Linked DNA regions of Diceros bicornis minor. The protein of the gene in region 2 interacts with the protein of the main gene of each other region in a biochemical or structural test. Links are inferred from orthologs where the notes say so. Each region holds a gene or a part of one and is shown on either strand. Other genes may lie near its edges.

The links. The genes of interacting proteins can lie anywhere in the genome.
Region 1: the proteins of SHQ1 (region 2) and DKC1 are reported together in a solved structure, tested with the Homo sapiens proteins (2 studies listed by BioGRID, with this or other methods). The link is inferred for Diceros bicornis minor from reciprocal best matches to the Homo sapiens genes SHQ1 and DKC1.

The regions. Positions count from the first base shown.
Region 1 is NC_080781.1:139,221,013-139,228,681, forward strand, and holds the start of DKC1 (H/ACA ribonucleoprotein complex subunit DKC1), read right to left. Parts: upstream 3,015-7,669; 5' UTR 2,933-3,014; coding exon 2,917-2,932; intron 2,146-2,916; coding exon 2,078-2,145; intron 1,665-2,077; coding exon 1,578-1,664; intron 1-1,577.
Region 2 is NC_080741.1:70,968,754-70,976,679, forward strand, and holds the start of SHQ1 (protein SHQ1 homolog), read right to left. Parts: upstream 3,008-7,926; 5' UTR 2,902-3,007; coding exon 2,759-2,901; intron 2,212-2,758; exon of another isoform or gene 128-2,211; intron 1-127. UniProt on the Homo sapiens protein: Required for the quantitative accumulation of H/ACA ribonucleoproteins (RNPs), including telomerase, probably through the stabilization of DKC1, from the time of its synthesis until its association with NOP10, NHP2, and NAF1 at the nascent H/ACA RNA.

The DNA.
Region 1 (7,669 bases), on a different chromosome or scaffold from region 2:
ACCATGATATGGTTACCCTTCAAGTTCATAAACTTGGATTTTGCTCCTATATTTTAATTATCTGCTGTGACACTGTTAAGCCTCCTTATATTCAGGAAAAATTACCCATTATGAGTAAGAATAAGACAAATTTGATCACTCCTCTAGAAAGAGACTTCTTGGGGTACTACAGAACAGACTAGGCTTCACTGTGCGGCCTTATGAATAAAATATGGACTAGCTTTGATTTTCTCAGGGACAAGATAACCAAACTGAGGTGGACTGGCAACAATGTTTCTCAAACATGACCAACTTGTTCTTGCTTCAGATGCTCCGATCTGTGCTCCTTTTCATTCTCCTCCTTTCCAAGGCTTGAGGCTGGACACCACTGGTCTGAAAGATCTCCCCTCAATTGAAGCCCATCTTTTCTATCACCCAGTTTAGTTTCATCATGGTACTTACACACAAATAGCAATTATTTTTTAACTCTCTCCCATTCCTAGATTTTAAGTTTCACGACAGTAAAGACATTGTCTATTTTGTTCACTAGCATATCCCCAGGGCCTACAATAGAAAAGCAGATGTGGGCCGGCCCTGTGGCTTAGCGGTTAAGTGCGTGCACTCTGCTACTGGCGGCCCGGGTTCGGATCCCGGGCGAGCACCAACGCAACACTTCTCTGGCCATGCTGAGGCCGCGTCCCACATACAGCAACTAGAAGGATGTGCAGCTATGACACGCAACCATCTACTGGGGCTTTGGGGGACAAATAAATAAATAAAATTAAAAATAAATAAGTTAAAAAAAAAAAAGAAAAGCAGATGCTATCTAAATGGCAGACATGTCTGGCCAAGCAGAAACTCAACTGTGTTGAATTATATAAGCAAATCTCACTCTTTTACCTCATATCCATTGGTTTATTAAAACACTTTGTCAAGGGGTGTCTCAATAACTTTTTCTACTCTAACTTGTCCTTCTAATCTCATAGCAGGTGCCCATTAAGTCGTTTGCGAAACTTCTAATTCACCTCATTACTGACTACCCTATTTAAAACCCAATCAACAGTCAATAATTTCTAGGGGACATGTTACATGCCAGGCACTGTGGCTAAACACCTTTCATGGATTACCTCCTGCAGCCCTCAGCTTGCCTTCCTAAGAGAAGATATGAGCAAACAGCCTCAGAGAGGTTAAATGACTGCCCAAGGTCACATACTGCCTGACTCAAACTGGTCTGGCTTCAAAGCCCATGCTCTCAAGTATTAAAGCAGTCCTATTCCAAGTGTGGCCCACAAACTGGTACAGGTCTGTGAGGTGGAGTTAGGTACAGAAACCAAGAAATAATTGTTTATGAACTTTGATAGCACTTTGACGTTGCTGCGACATCTTAACTGTATTCTACAACAGTGTTAGATCCATTGAAAAAGAAAAAAAAATAACCTGGTCCTTCATCCCAGACACCTTGAGGAACACTGCTTTAGACTGTATCATATAGTATTTCCTAAGTCAACAATGCTGGCATTAAGCACTCTTAACTATTTAACACTTAGACATAATGTAAAAGCCAGGCACTGACCTGATGCATAATCTTAACCACATACCTTTAGCAACAGGGGCCACTGAGATGTGTCCAATTGAGCCACTTTGGATTCAGGTTTGATAAGAAATTCTTCAGCATGCTGTATTTCCTTGCACAGGACAAAAATACACCCTATTAGACTTCCCATCTGATTTTGAACAATTCCATTACTACCACAGAAGTCTATGCCTTTAAAACAGAAAACAAAGTAGTCTATGCTTCTTCCCTGGAACCTCCATGGGAAAGAGAAGAAATGAACTAGGATCTTAAAATGGTAAGTGAAGTACCACCAAGATAGGTACTGCTATTTAAAGAGCAAGAGGGATGGTGGGTCTACAGGTGAGAGAGCAAACTACACCTGACCGGACAGACTCTAAGTTGGCTGGGGTTGTGCAGTTTCTACACAACAACCAACCAATTCCAGCCCATTCCTTAGAAACCTTTAAAAGCAGTTCTTTTCTGTAATTTGTTATCTAAGGAACATTTTTTAGTCCAAGCAAAGTAAAACGTATTCCTACTCACTGCTACATCTTCTTCTGGTAACGACTTCCGCTCCTTTTTCTTCTTATGCTTTTTCGGCAAAATAAATACTAAAAAAACACAAGATTTGGAAGTTTTCCCCGAAAATAAAGGCAACAAAGTTTAAATTAGAAAATGAAATCAGGGCAGGTAGAAAATGGATGTTTGGTCTAGAATTACTAGAGAAAACAAAGTGTGTAAGACCAAACGCGTGGGTTGCATGGCTCGGTTAGCTACTGCAAGCAGTCGCACGTGTCGGCTTCCATTCCGGTTCACCACGTGGCCCTGGCGGGGCTTAAACGTGCTGCAGAAGCGCTCGAGCCGTGGGCCAGAAAGTTCCATAAATGAGTGCTCAACTATCCCCCAGAGCTTTTGGCGTCTAGAACTTGCTTACGACTCAGAGCTACGCCCGCGCCCCTCGCCCCTTTTTTTCCCGCCTGTTCCCACCATTCTTTCCTCCCCTCATCGCCTGGCGCTGACTGCGGCGTCCGGGCTGGCGGCGGCGGCACAGATACTACCAGGTCTCCCGCCACCGCGAGGTCGCCGGCACGGCCGACGACGACCAGGGCCCTAAGGGGGCTGTGCCATCCGCGGGAGATCCCGGCCTCGCGGCGCCACTTCACCGCCAGGGCTTCTCGCTCTCTTGCCCTCCCCCGTGGAGCCAGGGCCAAGAGGCAAGGGCGGCAAGAGGCCCAGCGGCGAGGGGGTCGGCCCGGCGGCTGGAGCTAGCGGAGAACTCGGGACCCGACGCCATACCCCACCACTCCCGGCTCTCTCAGCCTGCGGAGCTGGTTCCAGCCCGGGGCACTTGACCCGGCCACCCGCGAGGGAACGACCCTTACCTTCCGTGTCCGCCATGTTGCCCCGCAGAGCGAGCCAGCCGCGTGGGCCACGGCCGAGAGAGCGACCACAGACTCCCGCCGCCGTCAGGCCACGCCGCTAGGCCCCGCCCACCTGTGCGCCACCCTGTGCGTACCGCACGGGGGGGGCGGGGGGGGGCGGGGCCAGGCTGCGGGGGTGGGGGGGCGGTCAGAGGCCGAAGCGCGCACGCACAATCTCATTGGCTGGCTGGGCCCCTGAGGTTGTGCGAACGCGCGTGCGCATTGTGCCGCGTCCCCGCCCCCAGCGGCTCAGCCTGGGAGCGCATGCGCAGGCCGCCCCTGCTGCCCGTAGCCTGTGGGCGTGGCCCCGGCCGCAGTTCGCACACCTTAGCTGCGTTTAAGCCCGTCTTGGGCACTTAGACGCTTGGCTGAGCGCTCTGTTAGCAGTAGCTCGTTGCTTCCTCTCGCCGACCGTTGAAGGTTGGTGTCGGATCAGTCCCGATTGAAAAATTAAGCTGTCGAGGCACAGAGAAGTTGAAAGCACTCTGCTGCTTGCAGTTCCCATCCAGCTAGAGCGGCGCTGGCCGATAGGAATAGAGTGCGAGCCACTTGTGGGCTTTTCAATTTTCCAGCAGCCACGTGGAAAAAAAGTTAAAAGAAAAAGATGAAAATGATTTTAATAATGAATTTTATTTAACCCACCGATCCGAAATATTACCATTTCAACACATTTCAACACGACCATTATACACCATTATGAATGGGATATTTTACATTCTTTTTCTTTCGTACCAAGTCTTTCCTGTGTGTGTTTTACACTTACAGCGCACCTCGCTTTGAACTCCACGACGGGGCTCCATGTCAAGAGCTCAATAGTCACAGTTAGCTAGTGGCTGCAGTATTGGACAGCCAGGAAGTAGCAGCTGTTGGTTCAAGCCCTCTTCCCTTCTGTCTTTGGTGCTCTTCTCACTCTTCTCTCTCTCAAGCGGGGGCTCCTAACCTAGCCTCGGTGGACTTGATTAATCCCTAGTTACTTAATTCTTTATTGCGATTGTAAATGGAATCTTTTGCCGTTATCTTTTCCAATGACTTTGCTTTTCTTCCGTTCCTCCTTTGCCATCCAAAAATTAGAAATTTTTCAGTTTTATTTTACTGGGGTTAAAATAGATGATTGGTTTTTCCTTATTTAGCTTTTTTATTCTATCTAGAATTTATTTTGGTGTATGCCAAGGCAATAATCATCTAAACTGACATTTTGTAGATAACCAAAATCGCCAGTATCAACCAATCCATCTGGAGTTCATTACTTCCCCCATTATTTTATAATGCTTCATTGGTACATATTTGGCTGAATAATTTTGAGGTATTCATCAATAGTACTCATATAGGCTTCATCTTTCTCCAATACTCCTCATCCAATCTGTTAGCAAAGCCTGTCAGCTTTGCTTTCAAAAGAAATCCAGAATCTGATGGTTTTTCACTACCCTCACTGCTGTCACTGTAGTCCATGCCATCATTATGGCTCTCCTAGATTTTTCCAGTGGCCATCTGCTGTTTCCCCTGCTTCTACTTTTTCTAACTGTAGTGTCTTCTCGACACAGCAGCTGGAAAGAGCCATTAAACTGTAATGTTCCTCCTCTGCTCAAAGCCCTTCAGTGGCTTCCCATCTGTAGTGGAGTAAAGAGTAGCCCCCCCAACTGGCCTGTTGGCATAGTGGTTAAGTTTGTGAGCTCTGCTTTGGCAGCCCGGGGTTCGTGGGTTTGGATCCTGGGTGGGGACATACATCAAGCCCTGCTGTGTCAGCCTCCCACATACAAAAAGAGGAAGATTGGCAACAGATGTTAGCTCAGAACCAATCTTCCTCACCAAAACATATGTCCTAACCCCTGGACCCTAGGAATGTGACCTTGTTTGGAAAAAGGATCTTTGTAGATGTAATTAAGTTAAGGATCTCGACATGAGATCATCAGGTGGACCCCAAATCCAATGACAATTGTCCTTGGATGAGAAGGGCAAAGACAGACAGACAGAAGAGAAGACCAAGTTGCTGTACCTTGAACCCACTCCTCCTAAGAAAGAAGCACGATGCTTAGTGGGCCTCTTTCTGGAGGTGGCATACCCATTAGGATGGTACACAGAGCCTTTTCCAAACCTAGATAAGAGAATCACAGCTGAGGCCTCTGGAATTGGAGATAAAAATAAAGCTAAGACCTACACACACACACACACACACACACACACACACACACACACACACAATTTGCTGGGAGGAAAAGCCCCTGACTTGCTTTAGCCCTTTACTGAAACTGAATGACTATGTGATACAAATGATCTTAAGAACTGAGCTACACATCATGAACTGGGTATTGTTTGACTGACCAAGTTATCAAGTCAGGCATGAGCAGCAGCACTCCACCATCAAGTACAATGGTACAGCTTCTGGGGAAAACAGTCTGGCAGTTCCTCAAAAGGTTAAATATAGAGTTGCCATATGACTCAGCAATTCCACTCCTAGGTGTATATACCCAAGAAAATTGAAAATAGATGTTTAAACAGATGCTTGTACACGTATATTCATAGCAGCATTATTCACAATAGCCAAAAGGCAGAGACAACCCAAATGTCCATCTAAAGATGAAGGGACAAACAAAATGTGGTATAGCCATACAATGGAATATTATTCAGTCACAAAAAAGAATGAAGTACTGATACATGCTACAACATGGATGAACCTTGAAAACATCATGCTAAATGAAATAAGCCAGACACACAGGGACAAATATTGTATGATTCCACTCATATGAAATAGCCAGAATAGGCATCCTAGTACAGGCAACAGGCATACGAGTGAGGAAGCTTCCATAAGATTATAGCCTTCAGCCATCTGGTCACCCCCAGCCATTGAATCATCTCAGCTAAGACCACAGGTATTATGGAGCAGAGAGAAGACATTCTCACTGTGCCCTGTTGGAATTTCTTGACGTAATCTGTCAGCTGAATAACAAAACATTCCCAAACTTAGTGTCATTAAACAACCATTTTATTATGCTGACAGATTCTGATTATGCTGAGAATTCAGCTGAAAGGCTGAGTTTCACTGGACAGGAGCACCTGCTTACATACGGCCTCTCCACGTGGCTTGGACTTCCTTACAGCATGGCAGCCTCAAAGTAGTCAGACTCCATACTTGGTGGCTCAAGGCTCAAAAGCAAATGTTAGAGTGGAGAAGGCATAAACCTGCATAATCTTTTGTGGCTTGGCCTTGAAAGTCTCATAGCATCATTTCTGCTGTATTGTATGGTTGAAGCAGTCACAAGCCTACCCAGGTTCAAGGGGAGGAGTCATCAACCCCACCTCTCAATGAGAGGAGTGTCAAAGAATTTTGTAGCCCTGGTTTAAAACTGCCAGATTCAGCAAGACCCAACCAACTGCTGTGAAGGCCAAACTGGTGAATTAAATGGGAATGTGACAGGAATTTCCTTCCTGGCATTCTTCAAGTCTTTGATGATGGAACTGGTTTCTGACATTGTCCCCTAAGTATGTGATATTTCTTTTGATTTGTACTCTGGTAGGAAGGTGGAGCTCCAGGGGTTGCCACTTGGGCCTTTCTGCCGTGATTGGGTCATTCCATGGGTCAGGAAATCAATGTGAGGATTCTGCTGATTTTTTAAATTTTAGCCATTCTGATAGGTATGTAATGGTATCTCATTGTGGTTTTAATATGCATTGCCCTAATGGCTAATGATACTGAACATCTTTCCACAAGTTTATTTGCTATCTGTATATCCTCTTCAGTGAAATGTCTCTTTATATCCTTTACCCATTTTCTAATTGGATTATTAGTGTTTGTTTTTTGCTATTGAGTTTTGAGAGTTCTTTGTGTATTCTTGTTATGAGTCCTTTGGCAGATATACGATTTGCAAACATTTTCTCCCAGTCTGTAGCTTGTCTTTTTATACTCTTAACAAGGTATTTTGTAGAGCAAAAGTTTTAATTTTTATGAAGCCCAGTTTATCAATTTTTTTCTTCTATGGATTGTGCTTTTGGTATCATGTCTAGGAACTCATCACCAGGTCCTAGGTCTCAAATATTTTCTCCTATGTTGTCTTCTAAGAGTTTTATAGTTTTACATTTTGCATATAAATATATGATCCACTTTGAGTTAATTTTTTGTATAAGGTGTGAGGTTTGGGTTAAATTTCTTTTTCTTTTTCTTTTTTGGGCTATGGATGTCCAATTGCTTCAGCACCATTTGTTGAAAAGACTATCCTTCCTCCATTGAATTGCTTTTGTACCTTTGCAATTCAAAGGTACAAAAGGTAACTTTGTCAAAAAATAGTTGGGTGAATTTATGTGGGTCTATTTCTGGGTTCTCCATTCCATTCCATTTATCTATATCTATTCCTCTACCAATATCACTCAGTCTGGATTACTGTAGCTGTATAATAAGCCTTGAAATTGTGTGAAGAGATTTATGTGGTGATCTTGTGTCCTGCAACCTTGTAAAACTCACTTATTATATGGGACTTTTTTCTGTAGATTCCTTGGGATTTTCTATGAGGACAATTATATCATCTGTAAATTGAGACAGTTTTATTTCTTCCTTCCCAATCTGTGTGCCTTTTATTTATTTCTTTTTTTTTTTTTTCGCCCTGTTGCACTGGCTAGAACTTCCAATACTACATTGAATAAGAGTAGTGAGAGCAGATATCCTTGCCTTGTTCTCAATCTTAGGGGGAAAGTGTCCAGTTTTTCACCATTAAGTAGGATGTTA
Region 2 (7,926 bases):
CTGAGAGAAGGAGATGATAATACAAAGAGCTTACTGGCTGGTACAGTTGGTGAACATTCAGAAGATGTAAGCTGTTATTATCAACTCCCTTCTCCTAAACTCTCTAAGTATGGGGCTAGATTCTTACCGTGTAATAGTGAACTCATATTTGTTCACAGATCTGCCTCCCCTGTTAGACTCTTGATTCCTCAAAGAGAGAGGCGAGATTTTATTAATCTTTCGTGTACTGTAGCAAACTGCATTCTCAAAGATGGCCCATCTCACATCACTCCTCCCAACAGTGTGGTCTATGTCCCCTCCCCTTAAAACTGAATGGGCTTCTGGAACTGTTTTAAGCAATACAATAAAGCAGAGATGACACTGTGATTTCTGAGGTTAGGTCATAAAAGGTGATATAGATTCTGCCTTGCTCACTGGGAATACTCACTCTCGAAACCTTCAAGCTACCCTGTTAGAGGTCCAACTCCTCAAAGGAATCAAAACTAGACCCTGCAAAGAGACCACACAGGGAGGTCCTGAAACTACATGAAGAGAGGTGCCCTCCTCCCTCACCCCACTAGTCCCCAGCTGCTTAGGCGCTTGTGGTTCCAGGTCCTGCCACCATGTCACCACAACTGTATTAAAGACATCAAGGCAGAACAGCCCAGCCAAGCCCTTACCAAATTCCTGACACACAAAAACCAGGACAGGGAGTTAAATGATTGCTGTTTTACATCTTCAAGTTTGACTGGTTATGCAGCAACAAATAACTGGAACAGCAGGCCCTTAATAAATACTAATACCTACTATTTATTGAATGCATGGTTAATTACCAGCCATGATAATAAGGACTATGCAGGCACCAGCTCAACCCTGACATCAATTCTTTAAGATCACAAATATTAGTCCCATTTTATAGATTACGAAACTGAGACTGAATTACTTGCCCAAAGTCATAGAACTGTCAGCGTGCCAAGATCCAGTTGTGCCCAATTCCCAAGCCTCTGCTACCCAAGGAATGGACAAATCTGTGAAGAGAACTCTTTAAACTGTTTCATACATAACCTCGTATTCTGTCTTCATCAAAACTCCCCAACTTACACACAGTGGCTTTTACTTTGAAATTTTTATTTTATTGTACTTATTTTATTTTACAATCCTATCTCATTTAAGAACTTTTCTCTGAGCCTCTGATTTCTCATCTGTAACATGAGTAAATAATAGAACATACTTTGTAGGATATGCTAAAACCAAACGAGATAATCCACATAAAGAATAACATAAACCTGGTGTAAAAATTCAATAAATATTTGCTATCACCATCAACATCTTCTTCCCATTCTTCATGTCTTGGCTTAAATATCACCTCTTCAGAAAGGCTTTCCCTGGCCACTTTAGATAAAAACGGGCTCTCTTTTACTCTCCCTCAGTGCACTTTATTTCTTTTTAGAAATATGTTTATTTCGTTTTAGTTATATGTTTACTTATTTGTTTACTATTTTTCTCTTCCCACTAGAATGTAAACTACATGAGGCCGGGACGGCCCCGTGGCTTAGCGGTTGGGTGCACGCACTCCACTGCTGGCGGCCCGGGGTTCGGATCCTGGGCTCACACCGACGCACTGCTTCTCCGGCCATGCTGAGGCCGTGTCCCACATACAGCAACTAGAAGGATGTGCAGCTAGGGCTTTGGGGGAAAAATAAATAAATAAATAAAATTATAAACCACATGAGGCCCCACTACACGCCCAATAACAAAAACAGAGCCTAGTATATACCATGAGCTTGATAAATAAATCAAACAAATAAATGATTAAAGAAATAGGGAAATGCAGTATATTTTATTAAGTAGGTGGATTACATTAGGTCCTAATGGCAATATGAGCAAAACCGGTTGAGGCCCAGTGAGGGAACCAGCTTGACTCAAGAGGAAGGTTTGTATTAGGAAAGTACTGGGCAGGAAAGGCCGGCTGGAGCTACACTTGAACGCGAAAGATTAGGAGAAGGGATGTTCCCTCGTAGGAAAGGGGTGGGGGCAACGGACTGACAATGTTTAGGACGAACTGTGTCCTCTGTAAAATGGGGCTAACGCCTACCTCCAAGAGTCACTGTCAAGATTAAATGAAATAATGCACATAAAGCACTTAATGCGTTGCTTGTTCGCCCCATGGAAGGTGAGCAGTAACCGTTAGCTGTTACTACTATTGTTACGGTTTTCCAGGGAGAAAACGCAGACAGACAAGCGCTGAAGGCCCCTCACAACCACAATTAAGGGACAAAACCAAACAGAGAAGTAGCAGACGACGAGGAGGCAGGAGAATGAGGCTACTTCGGTGTCAAGGGGGGTCAAGGAAGGCGAGAATTTCAGGAAGTAGGGAGCGGTCAGCCAAGAGGTCAATAAACAACGTGGACTGAGAAAAGTCAAAGGGACTGGGCAGCCGGGAGGTCAGCGCACGCTGTGCCGGGGCAAGGAAAAAAAAGAACAGAAAAGGAAGGTGACATGGTCCCAAACGCCAAGGTTTTAAATGGCTCCGAAATCTCTTTAATGTGGGAATTTAAGAAGGCTTCAAAAGGCAACGAGCTTCTGCAGCATCCAGAGCGCACGCCTGGAAGAGGGCACTTCCTCAGCACCGAAAGAAGCCGCGGAGATCTCGGAAAGGGCAGCCGTGAAATAGAGACGCGCTCCCTCGCCTTTTCATCCTCCCTCGATAAGCAGTCATCTAATGAATGAATGAATCCCCAAAATACGCTCTTCCCCTGGCCGGACACCCAGAACTCGCCTGAGAAAGTACGGCTTGGCGTAGAACTTAAAGTCCACCCCCTCGAAGTAGACGTCGAACTCGGAGACCCGAGCGTAGGGCACGCGGATGGCGACAGTCAGGAAGTCGGAGTCCTGGCTGAGGTCGAAGGCAGGGGTCAGCATCACCGCACCGGACTCAGGTGCCCAAGTCGGTCACTCTCACTGCCCCCGCAGTCCCGCCACTCAAACTCTGCAAGAAGCCCCCACGCGCTGGTACCTGTTCTGTTAGCCACGGCGCTTCCGGATAGAGGCGGAAGTGCTCGTGCGTGAGAGAGGAAGTCCCGCCCCACGCCGATCTCCATGGAGACAGGACGCTGTTAGTGGAGAGGTGGAGAAAGGGCGTGGCGAGTGGGGCTTTGTGCGCTGGAATTGAACCGAGGGCGTAATTTGGAAGAACCGGGACAAGAGTCCGCCTGAGACCCACCAAACGTCTCTCGAGGTTCTTAGAGATGATTTTAACAGGCATTGGCTTTGCAGATAGACCTGCGGTTCATGCCTTCTCGGCCACTTCCCAGCTGTAAGACCTTGGAAAGTTCCAAAACCTCTCTGTGTTTCAGATATCTCTCCTATAAAATGAAGATCATACAAGAACCTAGCCCCATAGAGAGGTTGTGAGGATAACATGAAATTATGAATGTAAAGCTCTCACAACGTACCTGGCAAGTCGTCAGTGCTAGATGTGTTCGAGCAGTCACCGCAGTAGCCACAGCAGCGTTACTGCGGTTTTCCTTAGTTCTCACCTGCCTTGTCAACAATTCCCCTTTCTCCCTCTCCGTCCTTCTCTGCCGATTTCTCTCTCCTCCCTTTCCCTTTCCTCTCCTCCTCTACATCCCTCTCACTCTCACTCTCTTTTTCTGCCACTTTCTCTCTCCTTCCTAATTCCTTATTTGAGTAGAGTTCTCTCGTTTACAGCGCGTCCATCCCACTAATCTCATTTAATCTGCGCTACAAACTCCGACGAACACGACTCGGAGAGGTTAAGCAATGTCTTATACTCATGCATTTTACAATTATCAGAACCCAGAACGTCCGACTCTTAAACCCTGTTGATGCCTGCAGTGACAAACTGCAGTGCCTCTGTACTCGCCCCTCTTTCGCTTTTCTCCCTCTTCTCCTTGCACTTGTTCAAGGTCCTCTTTTTTGTCTCTTTTCCTTCTCTTCCTTGCATTTACCCCCTTTAGTCTGTGCTCCTCGTGCTTTCCCAATGCCTCTCCCACTAGTCTCCCTCTTCCCCTACATATTCCCTTGGCCTTCCTTCCCTCTTATTTTATTTCCTTTTATTTCACCAGTAACTAGAATAGTCCAGGAAATAGTGTTTATTTCCTGGCTTTAAATGTCAATGGAAAAGGGGTGAAAGTCATCTCCTGGGACAGTGGACCAGATAACCTCAAAAGCCTTTTCAACCTCCAGTTTTTAATGAGTCTTGAAAATTAATTAGGTCTCAGAAAAGCATATTAACAGGAGCAAATAAAATAAAAATTTCAAAACAAAAACCACTCTGCTTAAATCTGAGAGTTTTGGTAAAGATAAAATAAGAGGTTATGTGTAAAACAATTTGAAGAGTACTCTTTACACATTCATCCAGTCCTTGGGTAGCAGAGGGATTAGTTGAATACTTACTATGTGCCAACACTGCACCAAATCCTTAATAATGATCTCATTTTCCCCTCCTGATAGCTCTATACAGTAGGCATTACATATCCCCATGGTTTGCACAAGATTACATAGCTAGTGAGTGGTGAAATGGGAATTGAAACCCAAGTGAGTCTGATTCCTGAACCCAGGCTCTAAAATATTACAGAGCTGACTCATTCTAATATTACCACCTACCCAACTTGTTCACATTCTGAGATCAAGACTCCTTGCTTGGGCCGGCCCCATGGCTTAGCGGTCAAGTGCGCGCTCCGCTACTGGTGGCCCGGGTTCGGATCCCGGGCGCACACTGACGCACTGCTTCTCCGGCCATGGTGAGGCCGCGTCCCATATACAGCAACTAGAAGGATGTGCACCTATGACATACAACTATCTACTGGGGCTATGGGGGAAAAATAAAAAAAAAAAAAAAAAAAAAAGACTCCTTGCTTTAGACCATACTGAGCCTTACAAATAATAGGCATTCGATATTGAAAATGAATTGGTGCAAACTTGGAATTAGTAAAGCTCTCAAAAGGTCTCTTGAGATAGGCCTTTGGCTGGATCATTCCAAATTAGCTCTAGAAAGAGTCTTTACATCTGGCATGGGACCTCATTCCTGTAGGTCACAAGCATTAATATTTTTAAATTATTAATGCCAGAGAATTAACCGAGGCTAAAGCTGAGCTATGCATGAGGAAACGCTAATTGAAAACAGTTTACAAAGTAGACTGTGCACTTCCTGGACATTTTATTCTGTTTGGCAACACACACACGCACACACACACACACACACACAGGATTACAACACATAAACAGACTATATGGTTCATTGCTGCTGTTATTTATAAGAAATACATATTGCATCTGCTGTATCACAAGATACTGATAGTTGTAACTATATAACAGGGCTTTCTTGTTTTGTTTGTAAGCTATAGTTCACTTTATTTTTGTATTTCTAATTTGTGGTAAATTACACAAGTTATAAGTTCATTCTCTTTTTAAAAAAATAGTTAAAGTTCCCTTGACTACTGTCCAACTTTGATCCTCTCTTCTGCTTCCCCAAAGGTAATCCCTCTGGCCACCCTTGCAGACCTTTCTATATGTCTATATACATTTCTGGGTACACTGTTACTTTATGTTTGTGTGTGCATGCATGGGTACATTATCACACTATAAATGTCAATCTGCAACATTATTTTATTATTTTCCTTGGATACTTTCTTAGACATACCAATATTGATTCATAGATCCAGTTGAATTCATGTTTCTAGATACAGACATTGCTTAAAAATAAATACAGTATTTCAAAATTTCATGTTAACTCTGCTTCAGAGGGAAAACAAACAGGAATGAAATTTTTCATCATTTTTTGAGCACTCTAAGTTGTATTTTTTGTTTGTTTGTTTTTCCATTTCCTTAAGGCTTACTTTTGGATAGCTTTTCACTATTTTGAAAATAGTTTTTTCCGTGGCCAATTTATTGAGGACAAGTATATAACCTACCATCTTTGATGAGATTAAATTAGCCCCTCCTCTGGTCTAACAAACTTGATTGTGATCCACAAGATTCAAAATTAAACGGTAAATTTAAAAAATATTTTCTATAAACAATTCCAATTTCAGCCTTGTTACCAAGTTCTATTGTGAGAAGTCTTTTAATGGTGAAATGCTCCTTGTTTCCAGAAGGTGGCATGCGTATAGGTGAGTAAGACTGTTATCTCAAAGAACAGAGTTTTAACCTCGGTTGGAAATAGCTTCCTGAATAAGCTGTTTATAACTCTAGTTCATTCTCTGAACCATTTTGGGGAAGTGATGGGATCTTACAGAGAACGTACAAACTACACCTTAACAACTGTTACTATTTTGATATACATCTTTTCAGAGTTTTATTCTATTCATAAAAGTATAGAAAGATTTTTAAACAAAAATGGTATCACACTCTATATTTTCACTTTTTCCACCTAATGTAACATTACAATATTTCCATTTGACTAATTTTTTTGTCAAAAATATCGTAATATAATTGTCTCCTTCTTATTTATCAGTGTTAGGATTGTAAGTCTTAAGAGATCAGGTAATGATTCACTTTGAGAGAGAAAAAAATGAAACTAGTAATAGCATCATAAACATAGATCACAAAACTAAAATAAAAATACAAAAGTTAGGATACAAACTAGATAACACATTTTGAAGTTTGAAAAAAATTATCCTTTCATATAATGGTAGCCAACACAATGGGACTAGATATCCTGAGTTTTGCAATTCCAAGTTATAAACTGTTTCTAAGAGGGCTTGGATGAATTCATGGATAACTTACAGATAAATACTGGATTGTAAAAGAGGTTTAAGGGATTGTGACAACAGGATATAGACAGTGCAGACCATGAGTCTGACACTGGTGTTTTTTAAACCCCTTTATAGTTAAGTACAACTATTTTTTAATCTTTGCACCAATTCTTCACCCCATTCAAGTCACAGTTATTCAAGAGCGCAGTGTTGGCAACAACATAACACAGTAATGGGTATTTCAGGTAGGTTTTTTTCCAATTCCAATTTACACAAGCTCAATAAAGTTCTGAAGAAAATCTGAAAAGGTTATAGCTGACTCCAGTAAGTTTTTTGACAATGTTTTTGTGCTGTGTGTAGCTAAGGGTTTAGCAACATATATTTCAAAATGCTAGTTCCATTCCATAGATGAAATGCAGGTCACATGGGAACGTTAATGACCAGCATCTCAAGTTCCCTTCATTGTTTAACATCACATAACTAAAAGATATCTACAGAATGTTCTGTTCTGATGCCCTGACCACATGCCCTTTACAGAACCAGGAGTCCATCTGGCACTAGTAGCGAGCGCTGTTAATGGCTTGCCCCTGACTCTTTCTCCAAAGAATTGTGCTAGCCCAGAGTTTCTCCACCTCGGGTATTTGGTGCCAGATAATTCTTTGTTGTGGGGGGCTATCCTGTGCATTGTAAGATGTTTAGCAGCATTTCTGCCCTGTAATTTCTCAGTGCCAGTACCAGCTCTGCTGTTTTGACAACCACAAATATCTCCAGACTTTGCCAAATGTCTCCTAGGGGACAAAATTGCCCACAAGTGAGAACAACTGCTCTAGATTGATGGGATGCTCCAGGAAGCAATGACCACACCACCACCCCCTCCCCCAGACCCACAACTGTGAGAACTGATAGGAGTGACAGAAGACCTCCTTCAAGGGACAGATGACCCCAGTGTGTTCCTTATAGGATCAGGCCAAGGCTTGATTTTCCCCAAGCCCACATCCTTACTCAGCTCTTCCCCTTTCCCTATCCTTCTTCACTTCCTCCCTTACAGATTTCTCCTGAGAATGCCCCTCAATAAATCACATGGATCCAAATCCTTGTCTCAGTCTCTGCTTCTAAGGAACAGAAGCATAGGCCTAGCGCACCTGACCTATAACCACACCTTCAGGAATCCCTTAGCATTCTATATGCTCCTGCAAAACTGCTTAAGTATCTACAGTATCTACAGAAA